7 linked regions of the Macaca mulatta genome follow. The protein of the gene in region 6 purifies or fractionates together with the protein of the main gene of each other region. This does not show direct contact. Links are inferred from orthologs where the notes say so. Each region holds a gene or a part of one and is shown on either strand. Other genes may lie near its edges.

Region 1 (4,273 bases), on a different chromosome or scaffold from region 6:
AACCTTAAAGTCAATCTTGATTCCTCTCTTACATCCCCATCCAATCTCGGAGGAAATCCAGTTTGTTCTATCTTCAACATACCCACATTTGACCACTTCTTGCCACTAATACAACAATCCGAGCTGCTCTGGCACCCCTACATTCTACTCTCAACACAACTAGAATGACCCTGCTAAAATATTTCAAATGTCACTCTGCTGAAAAACCCTCCAATGGTCTGTTGTCTCATTCAGAGTAAAAGCCAAAGTCCTTATTTTGGCACCTACCAGTTACTCCATGATTGGGCTCCCATAACCCTACCCCAATACCTCGCAGACTTCCAAGTCCCTCTTACTCCACCCCAGCTGTCCTTCTGGCCACTCTGCTCCCCTAACGCAATCACACCAAGCTCACTTCCCCTGAGGACCTTTACACAGACTCCTCTCCACTCCTCTAGACTATGAAACCCCCTCACCTCCTTCAGGTCCCTACACAGGTTTTTAAAACTTACCAACGTTATCAGTGAGGCTTTCCTTATCTACCTTCTTAAAATATCTACACCCGCCTGGCCGGGCACGGTGGCTCACGCCTGTAATCCCCCAGCACTTTGGGAGACGGAGGTGGGTGGATCACGAGGTCAGGAGATCGAGACCATCCTGGCTAACACAGTGAAACCACATCTCTACTAATACAAAAAAATTAGTCGGGTGTGGTGGCAGGCGCCTGTGGTCCCGGCTACTCCGGAGGCTGAGGCAGGAGAATGGTGCCAAAGCAAAAGGTGGAGCTTACAGCGAGCTAAGATTGCACCACTGCACTCCAGCCTGGGCGACAGAGCAAGACTCCGTCTCAAAAAATAAATAAATAAATAAAAATAAAAAAATAAAAAAATCTGCCCCCTCCCTACCACCCCAACAGTACTTATTTTCCCCTTAGCCTTCATTCATTTTCTCAGGGTATTTAAATACGATATATTTATGTATTGTTTGTCTCCCCCTCCCCCTAATAACGTAAATTCATTAGTACAGAAATTTTCATCTCTTGTTCATTTACCGCTATATCCCCAAGGCCATAGCAGGTGCTGAATACGATTTTTTGAATGAATGAGAAGTACTCCCATCACAAATTACTAGGAAAAAAACCAGAAACCATATGAGAAAAGACTGATTCATTTGACTGGATAAAACAAAACCACAACATCCCCATTCCTTTATACCTTGAAAAATAATGCCATAGGCATGACAATTGGGAGTAAAGTACTCTCAAATAAGAGATCCTAGAATTTGAAAAAGACCAAAAAGAAGAAAAATGGGCAAATAATATGGACAGCTCACCATACTTCCATACCATCCTTCACCCATCATTTTGGCAAAATTCCAAGTGTCTTTTATGTATTGCAGTCAAGTTTTTGGGAATAGAATTTTCGTCCAATACACTTTCAAACTGATAGCTGCTGTTGGGATTTTTACATGTTGTTATCTTTTTTTTTTTTTGGTGATGAATTCTTATGTATTTTACAACGTATCAATTAGTTCCAGTTATTTTTCTTAGTAAATTATATCATCTGCAAGTAATTAGAGTCTTTGTCTCTTTCCAATATTTATAGGCCTTATTTTATTTTAGTCATTTTGCATGAGAAGCTTGGTGATAAAATCATGGGTCCTGGACATAGTTTTTCCACTTCCACTGTGCAATCTCGGCAGGTTATTTAGCCTCTCCGTGCCTCATTTTCCCATTTGTAAAACAAAGACAGCATCATCTTCAAGTTTGTTTTGAGGATTAAATGATTTCATGTAAAGCACGAGGTAAAGCTCTGGATGATCAGTTAAAATTTGAGATAGAGTGAACAGCTGAGCAATATCGAGAGGTAAAATCAACCATAATTGGAAATATATCTCAGTTGAGGGAAATAAAAGACGTAGGTTTAAGAACAAAGATACTTTTTAGCATTTCAAATTCAAAGAATAAAAAGAATGAACATCTATCTGGGTGTAAGCACTATGCACTGCTCCAAAAATGAAATCTACAAATTAGGGCCATTTGACCAAAAGTCTCCTTTGCTTTTCCAACCTAATGGAAATTTTAAGTCCAAATGATGTCTGTTGCTTTATTGTGGTCTTTAGGGTCTTTCCATGTCAATCGGTGGACTAATGGCAGAGTATTCCCTATTCTTTACCTTTTAATAAACTTGTGATTTCGTCCTTTCTACAGAAAAGAGCCTAGCATGTGTCAGTGAAAAAGGTCCAATCAGTGTCCTCTGGGAGTTTACGGTCTCGTGGAACCAAGCAATAGTAAAGACAGACGCTACCGGACCACAGAAGCGGGCTCCTAACCCGCTGCTGTGCAGAGAAAGGGGCGCATCCCGGAGCCTTCTCGCTTCCACCCCGCTCCCCCGCCCAGGCTCTCGGCAGCCCCGGCCGTGGCGGCCTACGCCTGAGCCCCGTGTTCAGCTTCTGCTCCCACCCGGACCCTGCACGACCTCTATAGGTCAGACGGTGGCGTCCGGCCGGCCCACGTGCTCCCCACGGGCTCTCCCGACGCGGCCCGGACGTGGTTCCGGACGGCCTCCAATCCTGAAGAAACTAAGAGGCGGAGTCCCGCTGAGCCCCTGCATTCAAAGGATGAAAAGATGGGGGATCACCTTTCGTCAGAGTCCGTGGCCGTTTTGCCGAGGGCCGGGTTGGGGGGTTTTGAGAAAAGATTCTCAAAATCCATGACCCAGACAGGTCCTCCCTTTCGCGAGCCGGGAAACTACAGAGTAACAACCCGAGAGAGTGACAACTGGGACGCGACAGGACGGACCCAGAGCCGCACCAGGGCCACAGGCTCCGCCCCGCGCAGCCCCACCCACCCCGCACATGCGCCGAGCCGCCCTCCGCGACTCTGGGCAAGCCCGCTCCTTCCCTGCCACCTTCGCCTCGGCTCTGCGCAGGCGCCGCCGTTGTTGCCCTTCCGTAGGCTTTTTCGTCTATTACCTCAGATAGTAGACTTTAATTTAATTAAATTACTTAATTTATTATTTATTTATTTATCTATTTTGAGACAGAGTCTAGCTCTGTCGTCCGGGCTGGAGCGCAGTGGCATGATCTCGGCTCACTGCAACCTCCGCCTCCCGGGTTCAAGCAAGTCTCCAGCCTCAGCCTCCTGAGTAGCTGGAATTACAGGTGCATGCTACCACGCCCGGCTAATTTTTGTATTTTTAGTAGAGACGGGGTTTCGCCATGTTGGTCATATTTTTAGTAGAGACGGAGTTTCACCATGTTGGCCAGGATGGTCTCGATTTCTTGACCTTGTGATCCGCCCGCCCCGGCCTTCCAAAGTGCTCGGATTACAGGCGTGAGCCACCCCGACCGGCCCCAGCCCAGAATTTTTAAAAGGATTTGTTAGGATTCTGCTTTCACCTTGGTGAAAACTGTTCCATCAAAATCACAGTATTTCTAAGGGATGGTAGTAACAGCTAACATTGATCTGAGCACTCCACTACTATTCCTTAGAAATAGCGTTTCATATGTTAGCTAACTTAATCCTCACAACAGCCCTGTAAAAGATGTTCTATTACCATCCACATTTTTGAAATGAATAAGCAGATATGTAGTCTGGTAATGTAACTTGTAGGGTCTCTACAATTGAATGGGATTAAAATGAATACACAAGTAACCTCAAGACCGAAAAGTCCATTAAAAAGTATCAAATACTAAGAGGATTCAGAAGAGGGAAAAAATTGCATCCAGTTGGGAAGGCTTCTTGAGAAGGGAGTATTTGGGCTGGGTCTTGAGATATTTCCATAGGAAAAGATGAAGTTAAGAGTAAATGGGCATTCCAAGTAGAGAGAATTGTATTAAGGCAGGAAAACAGAGCATGCTGTTGCAGAACGGGGAATTGCTCAGTTTTGCTCAGTGTAATACCATTTAAGGCAATAGTAGAAAGGAAGGCGCAAACCCTAGTTTGGGCCAATGATAGAGAACCTGACTTGCTTCTGTAAGTGAAGGAACTGATTCTTGGCATGAGTCAGGATCCCTCTACCAATTAGTGAAGGGAACTATATGAAGCCAGACATCTTCCCTGGGGAAATTCTACTTTCCCGTGTTGTTTATGTTATAGGCAATCACCTATGGAACATGAATCATTACTAAAAATGGAGAGGAAAAAATGAATTAAGGAAATGAAAACTAGAATTACTCCCTCTTTAGCAGGAAGCACTATTATAGAACTCAAATGGTTACTATACACATTTTTTTATATAAAATGTCCAGCATACAGCAAAAGATAACCAGACACAAATGAAAATTCGATTAG
Region 2 (3,500 bases), on a different chromosome or scaffold from region 6:
ATGTGTTTCCATTTGAAATTCAAGCTAAAATAACATACTTTTAAAAAGTGTATCTTAAAAATCATATTTCACTTCAAAAAAACTTGTTAAAAGTAATTTGCATCAGATCCTGGAGTCGACTTGAAGAATTCTCCTACATCTTCTGACACCCAGTTAGGCCTTTTGAGAAAGAGATAAAACAATTTTTTAATGCATGTTTGATTATGGCCATCTCTTTTCTTAGAAGGTAGAAGATAGCACCATGCCGATTCGTCGAACTGTGAATTCTACCCGGGAAACTCCTCCCAAAAGCAAGCTTGCTGAAGGGGAGGAAGAAAAGCCAGGTAAAGTAAAATGGTGACACAACTTAAAACATCAAAAGTTATGCTGCAGTTTGGAGTGTCCCATAAATTCCTTTGAACTTAATTATTCTTTTTTTCATGGCTAAGTGTTTTGGGGAAACATTTGGAGAGAGAATCAGTAGCTATTGGTATGTCATTGCCAGACCATGAGGGCAAAGTAAGATTTCATCTTCTCTGTAAAGATTTTTGGAAGGTGAAAATGATATGTTGGAATTAAAAACAGAAAAATGGTTGGGGATGACAGGAATGGCCAAAGAGTAGCATTCTGGACATAAAGTGTCATGGGGATGAATGCAGTGTGGGAGAATGGAAAACGTGGGCCTTTAGGATAGACGTGGAAAGTTCATCCAGAAATCATCTGGAGGCCTTAAGAGAAGCAAATGGTGATCTGTTGATCTGTAACAGGTATCGGTAGAGAAAAGTCAGTGGTGGGAGCTTAACAAATGGAAAGAAATATAAACCCATCAGTATGGAGTGCTGGTGCTCCTTTATGGCGTCTATAACCATCTCTTCTCCTTTTCCCGTCTTTATTTTTCTTCTCATGATCTTTTTGTTTTTTTTCTTTGTCTTTTCCCTTTTTGCCTTTTTCTCTTGCCTTTTATCTCAAGTTTTTCAGGGATGAGCACACTGTGCTGCCTCTGTTGTGGCTGTTAGAATCAATTATTTGCTGACTAGCATGTATTAGGAATAGAGGGCCGGGCACAGTGGCTCACGCCTGTAATCCCAGCACTTTGGGAGGCCAAGGCGGGTAGATCACCTGAGGTCAGGAGTTCGAGACCAGCCTGGCCATCATGGTGAAACCCCGTCTCTACTAAAATTACAAACATTATCTGGGCATGGTGGTGCATGCCTGTAATCCCTGCTACTCAGGAGGCTGAGGCACAAGAATTGCTTGAGCCCAGGAGGCAGAGATTGCAGTGAGCTGAGATCACGCCATTGTATTCCAGCGTGGGCAACAGGGGAAACTGTCTCCAAAAAAAAAAAAAAAGGAATAGAAAATACGTGCATCCTTGTTTCCTGTATCCCTTGGTGCATCAGGACAGACATCAATAATGAGTCAATATACTCTTTTTTCTGGCTGAGCCTGGATTTTTTTCTCTAAATCCTTCGATGAATGCTGTAAGCAATTTGGGCACCCTAGCCTAAGGCAGTTAAGAAACATGAGAATCCGAATATTTGAAAAAGTAAATGGGTGCTGGTGAGTTGAAGATAGGTTATCTTGTCCAGCAGTGGGATAAGCCGCTTGGTGGTCCATCTTAATCCATGTTTAACAGCCAGCTGAAGCCACTAAATCACTAATAACATCAGTTTTCAGAATATGTGCCAGAGGGTTCAGAGGTAAAGTATTAGAAAAGTCAACCAAGAGTTTATGAAGAAACAGTGTCACTTCACAAGTTGTATGTTTGTTTAATCTTCTCTCTATCCCATTTTGTACATAGTATTTTGTACATAGAAATTAGACTTCACTCATTTTAAATTTTATAAACTCTACATTTTACCCAGAAACAGACAGTAGTTCGGTGAGTTGGAAACAGTCATATACAAACTACATATTCAGTATCCGTTGAGTGACTGAACTTTAAGCCATAACTCTTGAGCAGTTACTCTTGAGAAGAGAAAATAATGTAAAATTAAATTTATAAGTCTTATTGCAGTAAAACCCGTGAATGATTCTTAGCTTTTCATCTTTTTTAGAATAAGACAAAGTATAAATAAACATGACTAACTAATAGTAAATTCTTGCCCATGCAGCAATTTAGGTCAAGTTGTTGGTGTGAGGGGCAGTACAAGATATATCATGATGAAAAATACATTTTATTTTGGAAAACCTAAATGCAGTTACTATCTTTATCCCCAGATACCATTGTTACAGTGAAGTTCTGTCCATAATACTTTGTGATCCTAAGCATATGGAAAACAATTTTAGAAGCAGAGAAGGCCAAAGGAGGATGGAAATCACTCGCTTAGTATAAGTGTTAGAATTGTACTTATGCGATTTGGTTTTAAGAAAGAAGTGGCATTTTAAAATTCTCTTTATGTGTAGGCCACAAAGAAGTCCTTGTCATTATTGCAATAAGTAGTTCACATAATTTAAATGATCAAATTCTTCAATCATATACTTTGGTTTGAAGTATATGCTTGCCACTGGAGTCTTTTTTTTTTTTTTTTTTTGAGATGGAGTCTCGCTCTGTCGCCCATGCTGGAGTGCAGTGGCGCGAACTCGGCTCACTGCAAGCTCCGCCTCCCGGGTTCATGCCATTCTCTTGCCTCAGCCTCCTGAGTAGCTGGGACTACAGGCACGTGCCACAGCGCCCGGCTAATTTTTTGTATTTTTTTTTTTTTTTTTTTTTGAGACGGAGTCTCGCTCTGTCGCCCAGGCTGGAGTGCAGTGGCCGCATCTCAGCTCACTGCAAACTCCGCCTCCCGGGTCTACGCCATTCTCCTGCCTCAGCCTCCCGAGTAGCTGGGACTACAGGCGCCCGCCACCTCACCCGGCTGGTTTTTTGTATTTTTTAGTAGAGACGGGGTTTCACCGTATTTAGCCAGGCTGGTCTCGATCTCCTGACCTTGTGATCCGCCCGTCTCGGCCTCCCAAAGTGCTGGGATTACAGGCTTGAGCCACCGCGCCCGGCCATTTTTTGTATTTTTAGTAGAGACGGGATTTCACCGTGGTCTCAATCTCCTGACCTTGTGATCCGCCCGCCTCGGCCTCCCTGGAGTCCTTTTTCTTTTGTGTGTGTGTGATTGTTTGTTTGTTTTTTGTTGTTGTTGTTGTTGTTGTTGTTGTTTTTTGGAGTTCTCTGAAGTCCCTGCATAACCAGTGCCTGGGGTTCTGTGTTTTGTAGTAGCTGCTCAGAGACATGCTGTGAAGGAAAGGCACAAATAACAGCAGACCTCCATGTTCCCCTCTCATATTTCTACTCTTGCTTCAGTCATCCTCTTGGAGAATACATGAGTTTTTTATTACTTATTCTCTGAGATTTGACTGTTGAATTAAAAAATGGCTAATTTCTTAATTATAAGTCTCATGAATATTGCAAAGTAGAATAATTAAATCATTTGGGATGAAATGAGTTTTCCTTTCTGTGTAATTTCCTGGTCTATCTATTTTTCTAATAATAGATAACCACCTGACCAGGCAACTTGAGTGACATAAAG
Region 3 (3,500 bases), on a different chromosome or scaffold from region 6:
TCATAGGGGTCAGTAACTAAATACAGTATGTTACTTTAAAAATCTCACACCGGGTGTGGTGGCTCACGCCTGTAATCCCAGCACTTTGGGAGGACGAGGCAGGCGGATCACGAGGTCAGGAGATCGAGACCATCCTGGCTAACATGGTGAAACCCCGTCTCTACTAAAAATACAAAAAAATTAGCCAGGCATGGTGGCGGGCACCTGTAGTCCCAGCTTCTCAGGAGGCTGAGGCAGGAGAATGGCATGAACCTGGGAGGTGGAGCTTGCCGTGAGCCAAGATCACGCCACTGCACTCCAGCCTGGGCAACAGAGCAAGATTCCGTCTCAAAAAAAAAAACCCAAAAAAAACTCACACCTGCAATGAAATCAGTATATGTGTTATTCTGTCCCCTGTAAATGAATTCCTGAAGTACAAACATAGGGAAAATATACCATCTGGCCTTTACAATTCTTCATTTACCTCCTGAACTGTCTCCATAGGCGGTGGGGGATCCTTATTCCTGCAGAGATTGACAATGACCCATGTGACGTTCCGAAGGAAGGTGATGGGAATGGAGGGATTGATGAAGGACAGAAGAGGTTTGACAACTCCCAGTGATATGACATAATCTCTACATTGAGGACCATCACCTACAGAAATGAAAATTGTATTTAAAAAAAACTTACATTCAGGATGAGAAAGTCTGAAATGTATGCAATGGCTCATGTGGGAACACTGACGTTCTATGTTTCCTCACCATTAGTCAAAGGCATCAAATGTTGTTTCTCCAGATTTTGATTTGGGGAACATAAATTTAACCTACCAATGCTAACAGCAAATTGTATATCCTTTTCAAAGAGTATCATCTTAAGTTAGTACTTATGAAGCAAGAAGAGAGTCAACCCACATTAAATTCAGAGGAAACATAGTATGTAATGGCTATGCCAATGTAGGAAAAAAGTTAATTTAGATTCTTAACAGGATTCCTTTCAAACCACTTACCTATAATGTTTCCCAAAGCCCATACTGCTTGTTCACAAACATTCTGATGTGGTGAATGAAGAAGTCTCAGAAAAAGAGGTACTGCATCTGTTATAAAGAAAAACTAATATTTATACTAGCAACATGTTGAAGAGTTTACAGATTTCAGCTCAAAGAAATTGATCAAATACAGAGCCCGGCATATTGTAGCTGCCCAATTATAGTTTGCTGGAAGAACAAATGTGGCAAATATCTTTACCCTAAAAATAATCAATTTCAGTATTTTCCCCTAGTAATATTTAAGTAGTTTTTTTTTTTTTTTGCTGTATCTGTGTATTACTCCTGGGTTCACGTCATTCTGCCGCCTCAGCCTCCCAAGCAGCTGGGACTACAGGCGCCCGACACCACGCCCGGCTAATTTTGTTTTTGTAGTTTTAGTAGAGACAGGGTTTCACCGTGTTAGCAAGGATGGTCTCGATCTCCTAACCTCGTGATCCACCCGCCTTGGCCTCCCAAAGTGCTGGGATTACAGGGGTGAGCCATGGCGCCCGGCCTTTGTTTGTTTTTGAGACAGGGTCTCACTCTGTCGCCTAGGCTGGAATGCAGTGTGCAATCTCGGCTCACAGAAACCTCTGCCTCCTGGGCTCAAGCGAACCTCTCGCCTCTGTCTCCTGAATAGCTGGGGCTATAGGCACACGCGCCACCATGCAAAGCTAATTTTTTAATATTTTGTAGAGACACGATTTTGCCATGTCACCTAGGCTGTTCTTGAACTCCTGAACTGAAGTGATCTGCTTGCCTTAGCTTCCCAAAGTGCTGGGAGTAGAGGCATGAGCCATCTGTGGGTCTGGTGAGAATGGTATTCTCAATACATGATTCAATGTAACTTAGTGCCATATCACATGCTACTTAAAATCACCTTGATTACCACACCTAAAGTTAGCTAAGTGTCCCATACTATAAGAAACAACATACGTGGTGATATCTAGTACTTTTCTAAAGAGCTTGTGTCAGTTTCATTTAACAATAATTATTAGCACACCTTGAGGAAAGTAAAATTTAAAATGTCATAAGCTAAAAGGCAGAAGCCATTCAGCATCCTGAAGATATCAGAAATGGAAATTTAAAATCCTGTTATCACAGCATGATGTCTACTCCAAAAGATAAAACTCTACTCTTCTTTTAGTAACCACAATTAAAATTTTTTCATGATAGATTAATAATGGCTATGAAAAAGATATTGGTCATCAAAAGTAACTTATAAAAGTCATCATTTAAAAAATATTACAAGATAAAATTTATTACAAAATTCTACTTCCTTGCCATCATTAAAAAATAAAAAGTTCAGACAATAAGGAATTTACTTACTAGACTGCACAACAGCTTGAGTCTGTGCAGAAGTTCCTGATGCTATGTTAGTTAATGCCCAAGCAGCTTCAAACTGTAATGAAGGACTGTAAAAAAAAACAGTAAAACATCTTTTTAGACACTAACTACCACTTAAATTCATGACTCTTAAGACTGATATGATATGGCTATCCTTTGCCTTGTCCTTGAATTTCACCTTGTTATAATCCAACTGCCTGCTAGCCATCTCTACTTTTGTTTTTGTTTTTGTTTTTTTGAGATGGAGTCTCGCTCTGTCACCCAGGCGGGAGATGCAGTGGCACATCTTGGCTCATTGCAATCTCCGCCTCTGGGGTTCAAGCAATTCTCGTCTCAGCCTCCCAAGTAGCTGGGATTAAGGTGCACACCATCACACCTGGCTCATTTTTGTACTTTTAGTAGAGATAGGGTTTCACTATGTTGGCCAGGCTGGTCCTGAATCCCTGACTTCAGGTGATCTGCCCACCTTGGCTTCCCAAAGTGCTGGGATTATAGGCAAGTGCCACTGCACACAGCAGCCATTTCTACTTTAAAAATCTCTTTGACCTCCAAAGCCAGTCACTATGAACCTGCTTCTTTATGTCCACTGGTATTATAACATTCAGCCAGTCATTATTTCCCTTGACTTTGACTTCCTCTCCAGACACATCTAATCAATATATCATGTCAATTTTACCTCTTAAACATTTCTTACATTTATATAATCACCCCTAATATCAAGTGCTAGTTGAGGCCCTAATCATCTCACTTTAACCACTATCACAGGCTCTAGGCTGGTCTTAAAGCTAGAACCCCATCTGTCTCCATTACACCATCTGCTTTACATACTAGGGATATTACAAGGCTGTATAATTTTGTTGAAAAAACAAGATCACTATATTTTTGAATAGTGATGGAAGACCTCACAAAGAAAGTGGCAACTGAACTAGCTTCTCAAAGATGCGTTTAAAAAGAAAGGCAGTGACAGCTGGAAATAAAAAAGGTATCATGCATGGAAGGATCATGATGTGTAGGAATGATAAGGATTAGATCAAGAGAGCTGAAACTAACTAAGAAGCAAATAACAGGGTGTTTGTGCATGTGTGTGTGTGTTTTAGGATGGGAGTGAGGAGTGTATTCCACAGATACGCTAAGGATGGGGCATTGCAAA
Region 4 (4,296 bases), on a different chromosome or scaffold from region 6:
TGGAGTGCAGTGGCACCATGTCGGCTCACCACAACCTCCGCCTCTTAAAGGGCATTTTGATGGCAAAATTTGACAGTCTTATTCCTGGCCCTAGAATAACAGCCCAGCACTGTTCTAAGACTTTACATCCATTAATTCATTAAATCCTTCAACAATCTTATGTTGTTATTGACATTTTACAGATGAGGCAGGTAGACAGATGAAAACACAGTCCTTGGTTACAGGGACTCAGTCTGACCCCTGTCATGCTCTCAACCATCAGTGTAAGAGGGGGCAAGGCTGAGAGCATGTACCTCCAGGAAGCGAGAATGCAGAGTTTCCTCTGTGATGTCAAGCACTTCAGGATTGTAGATGCTGCCATTGTCAAACACCTGCTGGATGACCAGCCCAAAGGAGAAGGGGGAGATGTTGAGCATGTTCAGCAGCGTGGCTTCGCTGGCTCCCACTTTGTCTCCAGTCTTGATCAGCTGCACATCACTCTGAACAAGGTAACAGTGGGGCAGTAAACACCTGGACAACCAACAGACCCATGGCCACTAAAAGCAGCCCCCCATTTGCCTGATTAGCACAGGCAAACCAGGTCCACTCACCAGGATTTCAATGGTGCCCCTGGAGATTTTAGTGGTGATACCTAAAGCCTGGAAAAAGGAGGTCTTCTCGGGCCCGAGTCCAGTGTTCTGGGCTGGCACAGTGACTTCACATGGAGCAATGGCACCAGCACGGGCAGCAGCTGGCACCTGACAAAGACAACAAACAGTGAGAAAAGCCTCTCCACTCATACAACCTGAGAATGGTCCATTTTGCTTTAAGAAGCAACTACAAAATCTCTTTAGCCAACTCAATTGTCCCCTTACCTTATTGGCCAGCAACATGTCCCTGATCTCAGTGAGATCCTCCTTGGTGAACACAAAGCCCACATTCCCCCGGATATGAGGCAGCAGTCTGCAAAGAGAAGTTTACAGGAGAAAATCACCTTTCAGCACCATTCTCCAGGAAGAGGGAGACGGGCACTGGGGAGGGAGGACAAAACTGCCAGTGGAACTGACTTCTCCAGAGCTGGGTTGTTTTCCAGGTGCCCTCGGATGGCCTTGCGCATCATGGTGTTCTTGCCCATCAGCACCACGGCCTTCCCTCGAAGGGACATGCGGATCTGCTGCATCTGCTTGGAGCCCACATTGTCCGCTCCCACGATGAAACATTTCGGATAATCATCCAATAGTTGCTACAAAAAACAAGTCAGAGGAGCCAAGTTTAACAGGAAGAAAGAGGGAAAAAAATGCCAGGAGAAACTGAACCCCACAATTTGTTTCCTTCTCACTCCCTTTCTTCTAAGCTTTTGAAGTCAGAGGGAGAGTGGGAGCTACGTTGTAACACTGCCAAACTGGATGACTGGTTTGCTGGATATGAATGCTGAAAATCAGGTTTCTACATTCTATCAAGGAGTTTTTCCTTTAATTTTTTTTTTTTTTTTGGAGATGGAGTCTCGCTCTGTCCCCCAGGCTGGAGTGCAGCTGGGACTACAGGCGCCCGCCACTTCGCCCGGCTAGTTTTTTTGTCTTTTTTAGTAAAGACAGGGTTTCACTGTGTTAGCCAGGATGGTCTCGATCTCCTGACCTCGTGATCCGCCCGTCTCGGCCTCCCAAAGTGCTGGGATTACAGGCTTGAGCCACCGCGCCCGGCCTTTCCTTTTTTACTTAGTTTTTTTTTTTTCATTTTTCCCAATTACGAGGGAGGTTTCCGATTCACTAAAATGGTTATCAGGATAAAAAAAGGAATGTTCCAAATAAGCTGGTCAAGAGGGCTAGACTCACAGCATTCAAAGCACAACGTTAAGCAACGTTATTACTTGTAAAAAGAATCTAGACGTGTATATCCTGATTGTTGTACAATTCTTTCGAGTTTTGTGTCTGAAAACCTTTTAAGTGTGGGAAAACGTAATACAAGCTATGCTCTACAATGCTGCCTAATTGCTTAAGCGCAGTACAGTCAGCGTTTCTGGGCAAGGAAGACCCACCTCAAAGGCCATCCAAGTCACTGGACACTTAAGTTTCTTGACTGACAGGTCCTAAATATGCAACAACTTGCTTCCTTACAATGAGTCACTACTGGCCTCAGACCTTCTCAAAGATACAGTAAAAGTAGAATGTGCGGCTGGGCGCAGTGGCTCACTCCTAGCACTTAGGGAGGCCGAGGCGGGCAGACCATGAGGATCAAGAGATCGAGACCATCCTGGCCAACGTGGTGAATCCCCGTCTCTACTGAAAATACAAAAATTAGCTGGGTGTGGTGGCGCGCCCCTGTCATCCCAGCTACTTGGGAGGCTGAAGCAGGAGAATCGCTTGAACCTGGGAGGCGGAGGTTACAGTGAGCCAAGATCAAGCCACTGCACTCCAGCCTGGACAACACATCGAGACTCCGTTAAAAAAAAAAAAACAAAAAAGGTATAACGTGCGCTCTTTTGGAAGCCAGACAGACCTGGATATGAATGCTGTCATCTTAGGAGCCACTTAACTTGCCTGAGCCTGTTTATCTGCAACAGAAGGGACCTATCTCAGGAAATTGTTAACTAAACAGGATTTTCCCGAAAATGGCCTAATTCAGTAACCGGTACTGAATAGACCCTCAGCACATGGCAGCTGACTGTCCCTATTTGCGCTGGGGCAACATGAAGGGCAGAGGCGACCCACCCTGCACTTACGATGATCTTAAGGAAGTAGTTGGACTTCCAGGTCGCCCTGTCTTCCCTGGGCATCACGGCGGTGCGTCAGGGATTGCCACGCAGGGTTTAAAGACGATGTCACTGAGGAGAGAGAGGGAGCTCAAGCCTGGTCACCCCGACACCCATTCCCCGGTCCTGGGCCTACGAGGAGCAAGACACGCGCAAGCGCCCGCCGGCTCTGCCTAGGGCAGCCGCCGCCATCTCGGGGCGTGCAAGCCGCCACCGAGGCCCCAGGCGGAACAGGATAGGACTCCACGTTCCCAAAATCCCCCAATGACCCCTCCATGCTTCCCGCTGACGCCCCAGACGCCGATCTGGCCAGCGCACCAACCTTCCACGAGGACGCCTGGCGAGAGAAGGGCCTCGCGCCCGTGCGTGCGTTTTATATGCGAACAAAATAGCCAATCAGAAACCGCGGATAGCGCTCCTGTCTATTGGCTGGAGCCATCGCCCGTCCGACAAAGCTGAACGAACACAGGCAACCATTGGATAATGTCGCTGCCACTCGAACCAACGGAAAGCCGCCTTAAAGTAGGGTAGTGAAGGAAGGCGCTGCCTCGCGTTGGAGGAGCTTGCTCTGAGCTGCTGCCACCTGCGGGGCTGGAGCTGGAGCTGCGAATTCGGAGTCTCCAGTTCCCTCTGCCACCTGGCGAGCTCGGCAAACTGAAAGGCATGAGATGAAGCTGAGACGTAATTGCACATGCTTAGAAACCGAATGATCTCTTGTCTTCTCTAGTTTGTTTTTCCTCCTACCAAAACAGAGGGATCTTTAAAATCTGGCCGGGCGCGGTGGCTCACGCCTATATTCCCAGCACTTGGGAAGGACGAGGCAGGTGGATCATCGGAGGTCAGGAGTTCGAGACCAACCTGACCAACATGGCGAAACCCCGTCTCTACTAAAAATACAAAAATTAGCCGGGGGGGTGGCGCACGCCTGTAATCCCAGCTGCTCAGGAGGCTGAGGCAGGAGAATTGCTTGAACTCAGGAGCTGTGAGCTCTGCAGTGAGCTGAGATCGCACCATTACACTCCAGCCTGCGTGACAGAGACTCCGTCTCAAAAACAAACAAACAAACAAACAAAAACCTAAGTCAGCTCATCTCCTTATCTGCTCAAAACTTTCCATTTCCTCCAGAGTAAAAACCTAAAATCTAAACTACCTACAAGGCCCTACCTATCTGCCCCTCACGCCCACTCTGATCATCTCAGATGTTTTCCTCCTGACTTACTTGCTTTCCACCCGATGATGCTCTGCTGCTTTTCCAGAGCAGGCTTAACTTGGGGGCTTTTGCATTGGCCATTCCCTCTTCCTAGAAAACTAGCCAACAAACATCCATAGAGTAATTCACCTCCATCAAATCTTTTTTTTTTTTCCACCTCCATCAAATCTTTTTTTGAGAAGGAGTCCCACTCCGTTGCCCAGGCTAGAGTGCAGTGGAGCAATCTCAGTTCATTGCAGCCTTGACCTCCCAGGCTGAAGCGATCCTCCCACCTCAGACTTCCAAGTAGCTAGGACTACAGGTGCACACCACCATACCAGGCTAATTTTTTGTACTTTTTATATAGACGGGGTTTTGC
Region 5 (3,500 bases), on a different chromosome or scaffold from region 6:
TGGGTAAACTACTAAACACGGATGTCATCTATTTTATTGAGCCTGGATCAGTCTCTAAAGATCACCACAACTTTGAATCCACCTGTAGTAACTAAATAGCCTGTGTTGCTTTTTCTGTGAAAATATTTTAAAATAGCATTATAGATGTATTACATATTATAAAAGAGGAATAAAATCCCATGAAAACCAAAAGTATAGCTTGTAATTTGCTTACCAGCCACTTCTCACATAACCTTTAGTAGCTGCTCAGACGGAAGTTCATCCTAATCTTTTTTTAGGGTTAGAAAACTTCAAGATTTTATTCTGGTAACTCCGTTTTCGTAAATCTAAAACAGGTTTTGGAATGAAAATGAGGCCTCCATAAACCTAGGATTAAATATTGTAGAGCCCTTTATTGTTTTCTTTTTTTTTTTTAAAGAGATTGGGCCTCATTATGTTGCCTAGGCTGGAGTGCAGTAGCTGCTTACGTGTGTAATCATAGCCCACTGCAGCCTTGAACTCCTGGGCTTAAGCGTTCCTCCTGCTTCAGCCTCCTAGGTAGCTTGGGACTACTGGTGCTTACAACTGCACCCAGCTCCTTTACTGTTTCGTAATTGAAAAGAAAAGTTTATCCATTTGAGTAAAGCTTCTGTTATTCACACTATCAATTTACAATTCACTGAAGATTTTTTTGCCAAGTTGGGTCAGTTTTACAATGTACCAAAACCTAAAAGCCTAAATATATGTCTCTTAAAGGGACCCTTTTTCCTGTTGAACATTTTAAACACAGTTTCAGTAAGTGATTTTGATATAGTATGTTAACAGTTTCATCATAGAAAATTCCATGTTGAATTTTTTTTAAAAGCAACTGAGCCAGTGGGAGTCTGTGTAACATAGAGGCTGGACCTTAGTATGATAAATTGAGAATAATAAAGGGGATGGAGCATTTGTGAAAAATGTTAGTTTTTTTTCCTCTTTAAATTAGTAACTTCTTATTAGATAGTCCTGTATCTGAAGCAACAAGTTGTTCAATATGTTAGTTTTTTATTTGGATAGGTACTATATTTTCTTAGTTTAAAAGTTATATGGAAAAGTATAGACAAAGAAATTTCCTTTCTACCCCTATGCCTATGTCTACCAAATCCCCTTTGTCCCCTATAAGGCATCCAGTTTTAGTAGTTTCTGGTTTATCTTTTTAGTATTTCCTTAGGCAAATATGAATATACTTCCTTAATTCTTACATGAGTGGTAGTAATGTTGGCAGCCTACTATATTCACTGATCTACTTTTTGTTTATTCACCATCCTGTTTCATCAGCTCTGAGAAAATACACTATTATTATATGAACCACTAAGTAGTTATAAAACACTGCCAACTAAACTATGGCACAGTACTTGCTTATCACATTGACTGTAAGTTGTTTCTTTATTTCAGAGATGTAAAAACAGGAAAAACAGTGTACCCTGTCAATCTCTGTTAGCTCATAGAGCTCTTCTTCATTTTTTGGGTTTTTTTTTTTGAGACGGAGCCTTGCTGTGTCACCCAGGCTGGAGTGCAGTGGTACAATCTTGGCTCACTGCAACCTCTGCCTCCCGGGTTCAAGCGATTCTCCTGCCTCAGCTTCCCGAGTAGCTGGGGTTATAGGTGCCTTCTACCACACCTGGCTTATTTTTGTATTTTCAGTAGAGACGGTGTTTCACCATGCTGGCCAGGCTGGTCTCGAACTCCCAACCTCAGGCAATCCGCCCACCTCGGCCTTCCAGAGTGCTGGGATTACAGGCGTGAGCCACTGTGCCCAGCCCTCTTCTTCATTTTTTATGACTACATAGTAGTCTATTCTGTACTATAGTGTATTTAACCAGCTGGATATTGAATTGTTTCTGATCTTTTGCTCTTACAATGCTGGAATGAATAAGTTTATGTTAGTTGATACAAGTGGAGATATATCTGTAGGATAGTTCTTAGGGGTAGAATTGTGGGCCAAAGGGTAAATACATCTGTAATTGTTAAGATACTGCCATATTCCTGTCTGTAGGAGATACACTATTTTACATTCCTACTAGCAAAATACAAGATAATTATTTTCCTCATTCTTGACAAAATAGTGTATGATCAAACTTTTGAACTTTGCCAACCTGATAACAAATGGTCTCAGTGCCATTAATGATTAATGATTTGCGTCTCTTACTATGAATGGTTTGAACTTTAAATATATTTTAAGAGCCATGTGTGTTTCTTTGTATGAACCACATATTCGTGAATTTTGCCTATTTTTCTATTCAGTTGTTGAGCTTTTTCTTATTTTCTGGTTCTCTGATATAAAAGAGAGATTAGCTGTTTGTGATACATGTTGCAAATACCTCATCCATATTTATTGTCTTTGCTTACAGTATTTGTTGCAATATAGAAGTCATTTATTTTTATATATCATTCTTATGGCTCCTAGATTTTAAGTCATAAGGTCATCCCCACTCCAGTGTTACATGAAGGAATCATTCTTGTTCTGATACTTTCACAGTTCTCCCTCCACCCTTTTATTATTTAAATTTTCAATCTATTTGGAGTTTATCCTGGTGTATAGTGTGAGGCATGGACCAGCTTTTCTCCTTTTTTTCTAATTAACACTACCTGATTTAATGATTTAAGCATTATAGTTTGTTTATATTCGGTAGGGCCAGTCTCTAAATTTCACTCTTTTTTTTCCTGGTTATTCTTGTTTGTTTATTTTTTCATATGAACTTTTGAAAGTTATTCAGTTTTAGAGGAAAGAAACAGAAAAACTTGTTTTGAAAGGGACTTGGAGACCATGTTAAATTTGTTGATTAGCAATAATAATTATGTGTTGGTTCTTTGAAGGTTCTATTCAGTGTTAGGTGCTTTAATGACAACATAGGAGAAGGCAAGAACCAATAATTTTTATAAATTGGTGACTGATATCAGTGTCATTTTCCTAGCAATTTCTCGTACTACCTGTAACAACACTTTCAGCGCTTAATGTTTTAGAGGAGAAAAGCCTATGCTATGAAGACAGGAAGAAACACTTTTCAGGTAAAATTAAGTAGCCAATGACAGTTTTGTTTATTTGTTGCTTACTAGGTAAAAGTTTTGTTTGTGAGAAACTTGGCTACTACAGTGACAGAAGAAATATTGGAAAAGTCATTTTCTGAATTTGGAAAACTCGAAAGAGTAAAGAAGTTGAAAGATTATGCATTTGTTCATTTTGAAGACAGAGGAGCAGCTGTTAAGGTAGAAATTTTGAAATTTTGGTTCTTGATATTTGAATTTTGTTTCTGAAACCTGCCAAACACGTAAAGTAATGTTAAAAACTGAAGTAAAATTGACTGTTAGCTTTTGCTGAACTCTTTCTATTTAATCTCTGTTAAGTGGTAATAGTATAACAGATAAGACTCCATATTTCAAAGCCAGATTATTACTGAATTTGTGATCTTAGGCAAGTTATTTTTAATCTCTATTGTTTTGTAAGATTTGATAGCATGATGCCTTGGAAGTATTACAAGGTA
Region 6 (4,248 bases):
TGATGCTTCTGTCAAAACTTGCAACATTAGAAATTCCTTAGCACCTTCCCATAACATAATATGCAGTTTAAGAAAACATTGTTTAAAAAAAAAAAAGTCACGACGCAGTGGCTCACGTTTGTAATCCCAGCACTTTGGGAGGCTGAGGCGGTGGATCACGAGGTCAGGAGATGGAGACCATTCTGGTTAACAAGGTGAGATCCCATCTCTACTAAAAATACAAAAAAAAAAAAAAAAAGAAAACAAATTAGCCGGGTGTGGTGGCGGGCGCCTGTAGTCCCAGTTACTCGGGAGGCTGAGGCAGGAGAATGGCGTGAACCCGGGAGGCGGAGCTTGCAGTGAGCCAAGATTGTGCCACTGCACTCCAACCTGGGCAACAGAGCAAGACTCCAAAAAAAAAAAAAAAAGTAACATTTTAGTTGCTTTAAATGCAGAATAAAAGCTACTGGGTAATAATACCAGTAATTTTATATACATTTTTGTAAATCCTCACAATCCCACTAGGTAGCAGTTTCTTCCATCTTCTTAATACAAAAACTCAAAAAAGTTATGTGACTTGGCCCAAGCTAGCTAAGTAAATTATCCCAGGTATGTTTGATCCCACATTGTCTACCTTTTGTTAGAATTTCCTGCAATTTATCACCATGGACTCTATGTTCTGACTCAGGAATTCTTAATCTGAAGTCCATGCAACTTTGTCTGGACAAGAATTCTTGTGGGCTCCGTTAAATTGTAAATAATACATTTTAAAGATAAGGTAAAATTAAGACTCTTGTACAAATATAAAATGGAATACATGGTAAAGATTTAAGCACAGTCATGGGTTGCTTAATGACAAGGACACATTCTGAGAAATGCATATTCAGGTGAGTAAGTACATTGTAGGGTATGTAGTTATTGTATGATGTACTCACCTACAAACCTAGGTAGTATCGCCTACTACACACCTATAATCTTATGGGACCACTGTCATACATGCGGTCTGTCGGTATGTGGTGCTGGACTGTAAATAAAGGAATCAGTTAAGTGTTAAAAACCAGTTCAAAGAAGAATTTAAAAAGCAGGTACGGCCGGGCGCGGTGGCTCAAGCCTGTAATCCCAGCACTTTGGGAGGCCGAGGTGGGCGGATCACAAGGTCAGGAGATCGAGACCATCCCGGTTAACACGGCGAAACCCCGTCTCTACTAAAAAATACAAAAAACTAGCCGGGCGAGGTGGCGGGCGCCTGTAGTCCCAGCTACTCGGGAGGCTGAGGCAGGAGAATGGTGTAAACCCGGGAGGCAGAGCTTGCAGTGAGCTGAGATCCGGCCACTACACTCCAGCCTGGGCGACAGAGCCAGACTCCTTCTTAAAAAAAAAAAAAAAAAAAAAGCACGTACATAGGCAATAAGGAACGTTGAAATAAATATTAATAAATACTGCTCAGAATAATAATTAATTGCATCTTTACTGGACAAACTCATTTCCATGTTGTTGTAGCGGGTTACATGGTTGAAAAATAGTTCAAAGATCACGAAAGACAGATAACCTGGAAGACTGAGTTAGACAGGACACCAAGTCATTTGTGTGTGTTTGCTATTTAAAATTATTTCGTAATTTTTCCTGAGGAAATTATATGCGAAATGTTTGTTTGGAGACGGAGCCTCTCTCTGTCGCCCAGGCTGGAGTGCAGTGGCGCGATCCTGGCTCACTGTAATCTCCACTTCCCGAGTTCAAGATTCTCCCAACCCGGCCTCTTAAGGGACTACAGGCGTGCACCACCACTCCCCGCTAATTTCTGTGTTTTTAGTAGAGACGCGGTTTTGTCACATTGGCCAGGTTGGTCTTGAACCCCTGACCTCAAGTGATCCGCCCGTGTCGGCCTCCCAGAGTGCTGGGATTACAGGCGTGAGCCACGGTGCCCGGCCTCGCAAAATGTTTTAAAAGGTACATACATGTTTTCCTGAGAAGCTAATCCATAACTTTTATTAGGTTTTCAAAAGCGTTTCACAACAGGTTAAGAATCATTGTTCTAGTCACTGCTTACAATTCAAGTCCCTCAACACGTAGTGGCCTGTGTCTTCTGCTTTGTCTGAATCTTCTCGTCTAAATTTCCTTACTAAATTTTCAAGGCCCAGGTTAAATGGCATCTTACTCTTTGAGATGTTCCACCACCCTGTGTCCTCTAATTAACTGCCTCCTCATTTGTTTTCGCTTAAGTTTTTTTGCTAACGCACTCTGCACACCGTATCTAGCACTTGTTAGTTCCCTTCCATAACTGGATTTTTAACTCTTTGAGGACTATGGCAGAGTCCTGCAAAAGAAGATGATAATTTTAGAATATAAATCCTCACGTTCACTATCCTCTGGCAGCCACAAGTCAGCTCCAATCTGCGAAATACTGCACTGTCTTTACTGACTACTGCTTCTCTCGGCACCCGTACTTCCACAAGGACAACGTCATAGGCAGGGCGCGCCCCAAACCTCCCCATGCTGGGCCCCTATGCGCCCCTACTCTCTGAAAACGAGAACTACAAGTACTGCCGGAAGACTTTTGCGCGTGCGCATAGATAACTAGGTCAAGGAATTGATGGATGCGCAGGCGGGAGGCGGGGTAAGAAGGACGACAGATGATAGAGTGGACCGCAAGAAAAAGGACGGAGAGTTAATCAGACGTCGCCCAAGCTGTGCGACCCTATACGCCGCTTGTAACTTACTCCGTTCAACTCCCAAAATACAGGGTCAAGTACTGCGGCCTTCAGCCCTTTCCGTCTCCCGATCCTGATAGTCTTGGTTACTTTCGCGTCATAGGATGAGCGACAACGTTCGCCGGTCCCGCTCGAGAAAGACGGGCCCAAGGCATTGCGCGCGCCACCTACGTCACAGGCGAGGTGGTTCCGGGAGGGCGGGGCATCGGAGAGCGCGGCCGGCTGAGAGCCTCGAAGCCAAGGAAGAATTTGATTGGCGGTTTGAAAACGGCGGTTTTTGGCTTGGGCGGAGGTGGACGGGCCAAGTTTTGGGTCCTCATCTGGTGAGGTCCCGCGTTAATGACGTCACATTCTTTCGCGGGAAAAATTCGAAAGTGGATTTTCTGTAATTTTGACAGGTGAGGTGAAGTGTTTCTCGAGCTTTCCTAGGAATGGCTTGAGCGATTTGGGGCGAAGGGACAAAAGACTCTGCTCCGTAAGAAGAGAACCGGGAAGGATGCTGTTTGGAACCAGGATTAGTAACAGCTACTCGGACTGCTTGTAATAAGGGTTGCCTCTTCACCGCTTTTCCCAGGCCCTGCTTTGCAATTTCGAGTACGTATGAGGACCAAAGGGGACTTTGCTGTTCGTATTTAGGACTGATAAAGGATCGAGTCTCCATTGTCATTTGGTGACACAGGATTATGGTTATTAGAATCTTGGCAAATGATATGTGGGTTTCCTTTGTTTATTTGGACTGGATGGTTTCTTAACAATGTTGAATTCGTGATTCCAAAACTTTGTTATCTGAACTATTTAGAGGTTCAGGGTTAGGTTCAAAAAATCCTCCTTGTCTAAAAACAAAAGGAAAAACATCTTGTAATTAAATGAAAAATGGCTCATACTTTACTGAGAACACCGAGTTTTATGTATATGTATTGTATCTGTACATATCGTAGCACAAGGTATATATATGTGTGTGTATGTACGTATATCTGTATATGTATGTATGTATATAATTATCACAGAACATTTGGGATCTTTAAAAACTTCTTTGGAGATTAATCTTTCACCTGTTAGAAGTCGGTCAGCAGGTGAATTGGCTGGTAGACGTGGACAGATGAACACTTGGAAAAAACTCTTTATCTTTGCATCTCACTTAAATATATGATGCTGGTATCTTAAATAATTTTTTCTGATTAATGCTAAGATAAGAAAGGGTGGCCGGGCGCGGTGGCTCAAGCCTGTAATCCCAGCACTTTGGGAGGCCGAGACGGGCGGATCACTAGGTCAGGAGATCGAGACCATCCTGGCGAACACGGTGAAACCCCGTCTCTACTAAAAAATACAAAAAAAAAAAAAAAAACAACTAGCCGGGCGAGGCGGCGGGCGCCTGTAGTCCTAGCTACTCGGGAGGCTGAGGCAGGAGAATGGCGTAAACCCGGGGGGCGGAGCTTGCAGTGAGCTGAGATCCGGCCACTGCACTCTAGCCCGGGCGACAGAGCCAGACTCCGTCTCAAAAAAAAAAAAAAAAAAGAAAGGGTGTTGACTTTCAGTGAAGAAGTATTAGAGCTCTTGTAGA
Region 7 (3,551 bases), on a different chromosome or scaffold from region 6:
AAAGGTATGGGCAGACAACTTACTTTGCCTTTAATCTCTAGAAAAAAATAGCAATTACTTGGGGTCGGAGAGTAAAATAAGTAGTGAACCTTAAAGTAGTAAACTTGAGAACAGAATAGTTTCAGAGGGGAAAAGAAGAGGTGATTTTCAGCTCATCAACAAAAGATCTTATAATAAATTACATGTTCTGGTACTTTTCCTATCTTTCTGTGTAAATTTTTGCTATTTAAAAAATAAATTTCAAATATATTGTTCATCTTAAAAGTCAAGAGTTTGTTTTATTAAAGTCAGTTGCTTTATTTGCAATTCAAAGATATATTTGAGTTTCAAACTGGAGATTGTCCTGTACGGTAACTTGTGTAAGGTGTGGTTATTGAAAGTAACCTCTAATTTTCATGGGCTGAAATTCATCTCTAATATTGCAATGTACAAAAATAAATAAATAAATAAATGCTTGTTTTCTTTGAAAACATATTATCTCAGTGCCTCTAACTGCCAAATCTATTGGCTTTCTTTGCAGGCTTAAGGGATCTCCCTTGTTCCTTTATTATCTCTATCTTGAGAGCCAGACCTCCTGCCTTACACAACTCAGAGGGGGACCTCAGAGCTTTTTAAAAAGAGCCCAATTTCTCGCCTGTAGAGAAGTGAAAAGGATGCCCCGCCCCCATCTATGAAAAGAAGGATTTGATGGTTTCAATGTCTTCAAATCAAAGATTTAAGTCTCTAGCCCCCCACCACACCGGACCCTACCAAGGCTCATGAACCCCCTCCCATCCCTCCCTAATTACTTTGGACTGGCCCTGGAATCCTTGTCCCAGTCCACAGTTCCTGTGCGTCTGCAGGAAGAATTCACACAGGACCTGTGTTACTTCCCTTGTGAAGAAACAGAATTATCATGAAAATTTAGGTGGAAACCATTTCGCTTTTTTTTTCAAAAATAAGGGAAGCATGTGCCCAACCACCCCTGGGAAAAAGAACTTTCAGGGGCAAAGGAGCGAACAGGTAATTTATAAGAAAAACAGAAAGTGGTCTCTGACTGCCCCAGACTTCCTTCGGAGTTGGGGGAATTGGGGACGCCTGGACGCGTTGTTTTTGTGGTTGTGGAAAAAATAAATGAAAAGCCTGAAGCCCGAGGCTTCTGAGATCCTTTCCTGACCAAATCCGGGTGATTTGGTGCAGGGAATTTTAATATTTTTCCCCTTTTGTGAGGTGGAACAAACACAACTTGGGAGCAGCGCAGCGACTCAGAGCCTGCCAGCCAGGCGGGCCACCAGAGCACCAATCAGAGCGCTCCTGCGCTCTATATATACAGCGGCCCTGCCCAAGCGCTGTTTCATCGGCGCTTTGCCACTTGTACCCGAGTTGTTGATCCTCAACATGTCCGAGACTGCTCCTGTCGCTCCCGCTGCCGCGCCTCCGGCGGAGAAAGTCCCCGTAAAGAAGAAAACAGCCAAGAAATCTGGGGGGCCGCCTCGTAAGGCATCTGGTCCCCCGGTGTCAGAGCTCATCACCAAGGCGGTGGCAGCCTCTAAAGAGCGCAGCGGGGTTTCTCTTGCTGCTTTGAAAAAAGCGTTGGCTGCCGCCGGCTATGATGTGGAGAAAAACAACAGCCGAATCAAACTTGGTCTCAAGAGTCTGGTGAGCAAGGGCACTCTGGTGCAGACTAAGGGCACCGGTGCTTCTGGTTCCTTCAAACTTAACAAGAAGGCAGCCTCCGGCGAAACCAAGCCCAAGGTTAAGAAGGTGGGCGCAGCCAAGCCTAAGAAGCCGGTTGGGGCAGCTAAGAAGCCTAGGAAGGCGACTGGCGGCGCTACCCCGAAGAAGAGCGCTAAGAAAACACCGAAGAAGGCGAAGAAGCCGGCCGCGGCCACTGTGACCAAGAAAGTGGCCAAGAGCCCAAAGAAGGCCAAGGTTGCGAAGCCCAAGAAAGCTGCCAAAAGTGCTGCTAAGTCCGTGAAGCCCAAGGCCGCCAAGCCCAAGGTTGTCAAGCCTAAGAAGGCGGCACCCAAGAAGAAATAGGTGGACGCCTGCTTCAAAAAACCCAAAAGGCTCTTTTCAGAGCCACCACTGATCTCAATAAAAGAGCTGGATACTTGTTTTTCTTAGTTGCCCTTGTTCCTTTTCTTGCTCGACCCTGCTCCTTAAGGTTAGTCGAACGGGAACCTTATAAGACAAATAAGTAACGGGGGTTCGAGAGTGGCCGTGGTGAGGTTACGGCGCTTAAACCTTTACTGCGACTTCCATGTCCCTGACTGCTGCTTCGAGGCGTTTCCCGCTGGCGGATGTTTTTGGGATGGCAGTCAGCCACGCCCCAGGCCTGTGAAAGGCAGAAAAGATCGCAAAACAAGAGCCAGTTTCTTCGTCTAAAGGGATATCCGGATTGGACTAAAAAATAATTCAAAAGTCCCGCCCTGCTCCTGGGTTGGTCCGTCGTTCTAGTCCATGACTTTAATTCTATATTTAATTGGATGGTGGCAGACGTTGCTTATTCCGTGTGTGTTGCTTCTCTGTGACTTGAAAGTTTTGCCTCTTGATATTAACGTTCGGGATTTCGGACGCTTTCCATGTTGTAGGTAGTCAAGTTGGTATCTCCTGGAGGTAGTGGCAACATCCAGCCCTGGGAGGAGAGTGCGTGCAGGTACCTTTGTCCTACATTCCTCTGCTGTTAATTTCTCATTCCTGTGGTAACAAAGGAATGCATTTGAATAAACAGCGGCAATAGCCCTTCCTCCACCCAAGGCAATCGTGGACCTAGGGAGCTTTTTGTTTCTCATATCATGCATGTAGTGTTCCGCTAAACTGACAGATTTGAGCGTATCGATTTTGAGCGTATCGAAAGCACAACTTTTAGCCAGCCATTTTGTCCTCGCTTGACGGTTACTTATCCTCAGTTTAGGCAGACATCAACATTTAAAAATCGAAGTTCTTTTAAACACATTTTGTTTGGCAGTCCAAGTGTTTCTACGCGGAGAACGATTTGTACTATTAACTAAAGTATATGGATAAATGAGAGACATTTCTAATAAAGGCCTTCGTTAATGGTTCCCTCTATTTGACACCCATGGTGCTTCTGAATACAGAAAACCTAGCGTCTTATATTCGGTTCTTTTAAAATCTGATAGGCACATTTCGGTGAGACCTAAATTATGTGGACCGGGACTTCTGGAGATAAGCTGCTCAGTTATTCTACCATCTCCACAATGATGAATGTAGTGAGTTAATTTCTCTGTTAGTGATAGTGACCACGGATTCATCCCAAGAAAGGGAGAAAGGGGAGGGAGGCAAGCAGAGAGACAGGGAGGCAGAGGCAGGGAAGAAGGAAAAAGCATTCTCCCATGGGTTAAGTAATTTTGTGTTGTTAATTTTACATTACAACACGGTTTACATGGTGAACTCTATTTTGGTGTAAGGTTTAATATATGGACATATTTTCTCCCAAGACCATTTATGAACTTTCATTTCTGCTTCCCCCTTCTTCCTTCCGTGTCACCCTCCACACTCCTATCAATTTTGGCTATTTTTGTCATAGGCTAATAGGCTAAAATTTCATG

Evidence for each region.
Region 1: the proteins of LARP7 (region 6) and ZC3H8 purify together in Homo sapiens (affinity purification with mass spectrometry; 4 studies listed by BioGRID and IntAct, counting the BioPlex papers as one, with this or other methods). This does not show direct contact. The link is inferred for Macaca mulatta from reciprocal best matches to the Homo sapiens genes LARP7 and ZC3H8.
Region 2: the proteins of LARP7 (region 6) and HP1BP3 purify together in Homo sapiens (affinity purification with mass spectrometry; 3 studies listed by BioGRID and IntAct, with this or other methods). This does not show direct contact. The link is inferred for Macaca mulatta from reciprocal best matches to the Homo sapiens genes LARP7 and HP1BP3.
Region 3: the proteins of LARP7 (region 6) and KPNA3 purify together in Homo sapiens (affinity purification with mass spectrometry; 3 studies listed by BioGRID and IntAct, with this or other methods). This does not show direct contact. The link is inferred for Macaca mulatta from reciprocal best matches to the Homo sapiens genes LARP7 and KPNA3.
Region 4: the proteins of LARP7 (region 6) and RPLP0 purify together in Homo sapiens (affinity purification with mass spectrometry; 3 studies listed by BioGRID and IntAct, with this or other methods). This does not show direct contact. The link is inferred for Macaca mulatta from reciprocal best matches to the Homo sapiens genes LARP7 and RPLP0.
Region 5: the proteins of LARP7 (region 6) and HNRNPR purify together in Homo sapiens (affinity purification with mass spectrometry; 4 studies listed by BioGRID and IntAct, with this or other methods). This does not show direct contact. The link is inferred for Macaca mulatta from reciprocal best matches to the Homo sapiens genes LARP7 and HNRNPR.
Region 7: the proteins of LARP7 (region 6) and H1-2 purify together in Homo sapiens (affinity purification with mass spectrometry; 3 studies listed by BioGRID and IntAct, with this or other methods). This does not show direct contact. The link is inferred for Macaca mulatta from reciprocal best matches to the Homo sapiens genes LARP7 and H1-2.

What each region holds. Positions count from the first base shown.
Region 1 is NC_133418.1:22,389,403-22,393,675, forward strand, and holds the start of ZC3H8 (zinc finger CCCH domain-containing protein 8), read right to left. Parts: upstream 2,801-4,273; 5' UTR 2,693-2,800; coding exon 2,619-2,692; intron 1-2,618.
Region 2 is NC_133406.1:220,174,014-220,177,513, forward strand, and holds part of HP1BP3 (heterochromatin protein 1-binding protein 3), read left to right. Parts: intron 1-223; coding exon 224-323; intron 324-3,500. UniProt on the Homo sapiens protein: Component of heterochromatin that maintains heterochromatin integrity during G1/S progression and regulates the duration of G1 phase to critically influence cell proliferative capacity.
Region 3 is NC_133422.1:28,954,097-28,957,596, forward strand, and holds part of KPNA3 (importin subunit alpha-4), read right to left. Parts: intron 2,419-3,500; coding exon 2,333-2,418; intron 1,073-2,332; coding exon 986-1,072; intron 634-985; coding exon 464-633; intron 1-463. UniProt on the Homo sapiens protein: Functions in nuclear protein import as an adapter protein for nuclear receptor KPNB1. Binds specifically and directly to substrates containing either a simple or bipartite NLS motif.
Region 4 is NC_133416.1:127,495,506-127,499,801, forward strand, and holds the start of RPLP0 (large ribosomal subunit protein uL10), read right to left. Parts: upstream 2,801-4,296; 5' UTR 2,753-2,800; coding exon 2,699-2,752; intron 2,445-2,698; exon of another isoform or gene 2,239-2,444; intron 1,610-2,238; exon of another isoform or gene 1,223-1,609; coding exon 1,047-1,222; intron 943-1,046; coding exon 855-942; intron 738-854; coding exon 591-737; intron 480-590; coding exon 294-479; intron 1-293.
Region 5 is NC_133406.1:217,691,843-217,695,342, forward strand, and holds part of HNRNPR (heterogeneous nuclear ribonucleoprotein R), read left to right. Parts: intron 1-3,075; coding exon 3,076-3,225; intron 3,226-3,500. UniProt on the Homo sapiens protein: Component of ribonucleosomes, which are complexes of at least 20 other different heterogeneous nuclear ribonucleoproteins (hnRNP). hnRNP play an important role in processing of precursor mRNA in the nucleus.
Region 6 is NC_133410.1:121,861,914-121,866,161, reverse strand, and holds the start of LARP7 (la-related protein 7), read right to left. Parts: upstream 2,801-4,248; 5' UTR 2,697-2,800; intron 2,413-2,696; exon of another isoform or gene 2,334-2,412; intron 1,008-2,333; exon of another isoform or gene 915-1,007; intron 212-914; 5' UTR 117-211; intron 1-116. UniProt on the Homo sapiens protein: RNA-binding protein that specifically binds distinct small nuclear RNA (snRNAs) and regulates their processing and function.
Region 7 is NC_133409.1:157,051,897-157,055,447, forward strand, and holds H1-2 (histone H1.2), read left to right. Parts: upstream 1-1,335; 5' UTR 1,336-1,377; coding exon 1,378-2,019; 3' UTR 2,020-3,051; downstream 3,052-3,551. UniProt on the Homo sapiens protein: Histone H1 protein binds to linker DNA between nucleosomes forming the macromolecular structure known as the chromatin fiber. Histones H1 are necessary for the condensation of nucleosome chains into higher-order structured fibers.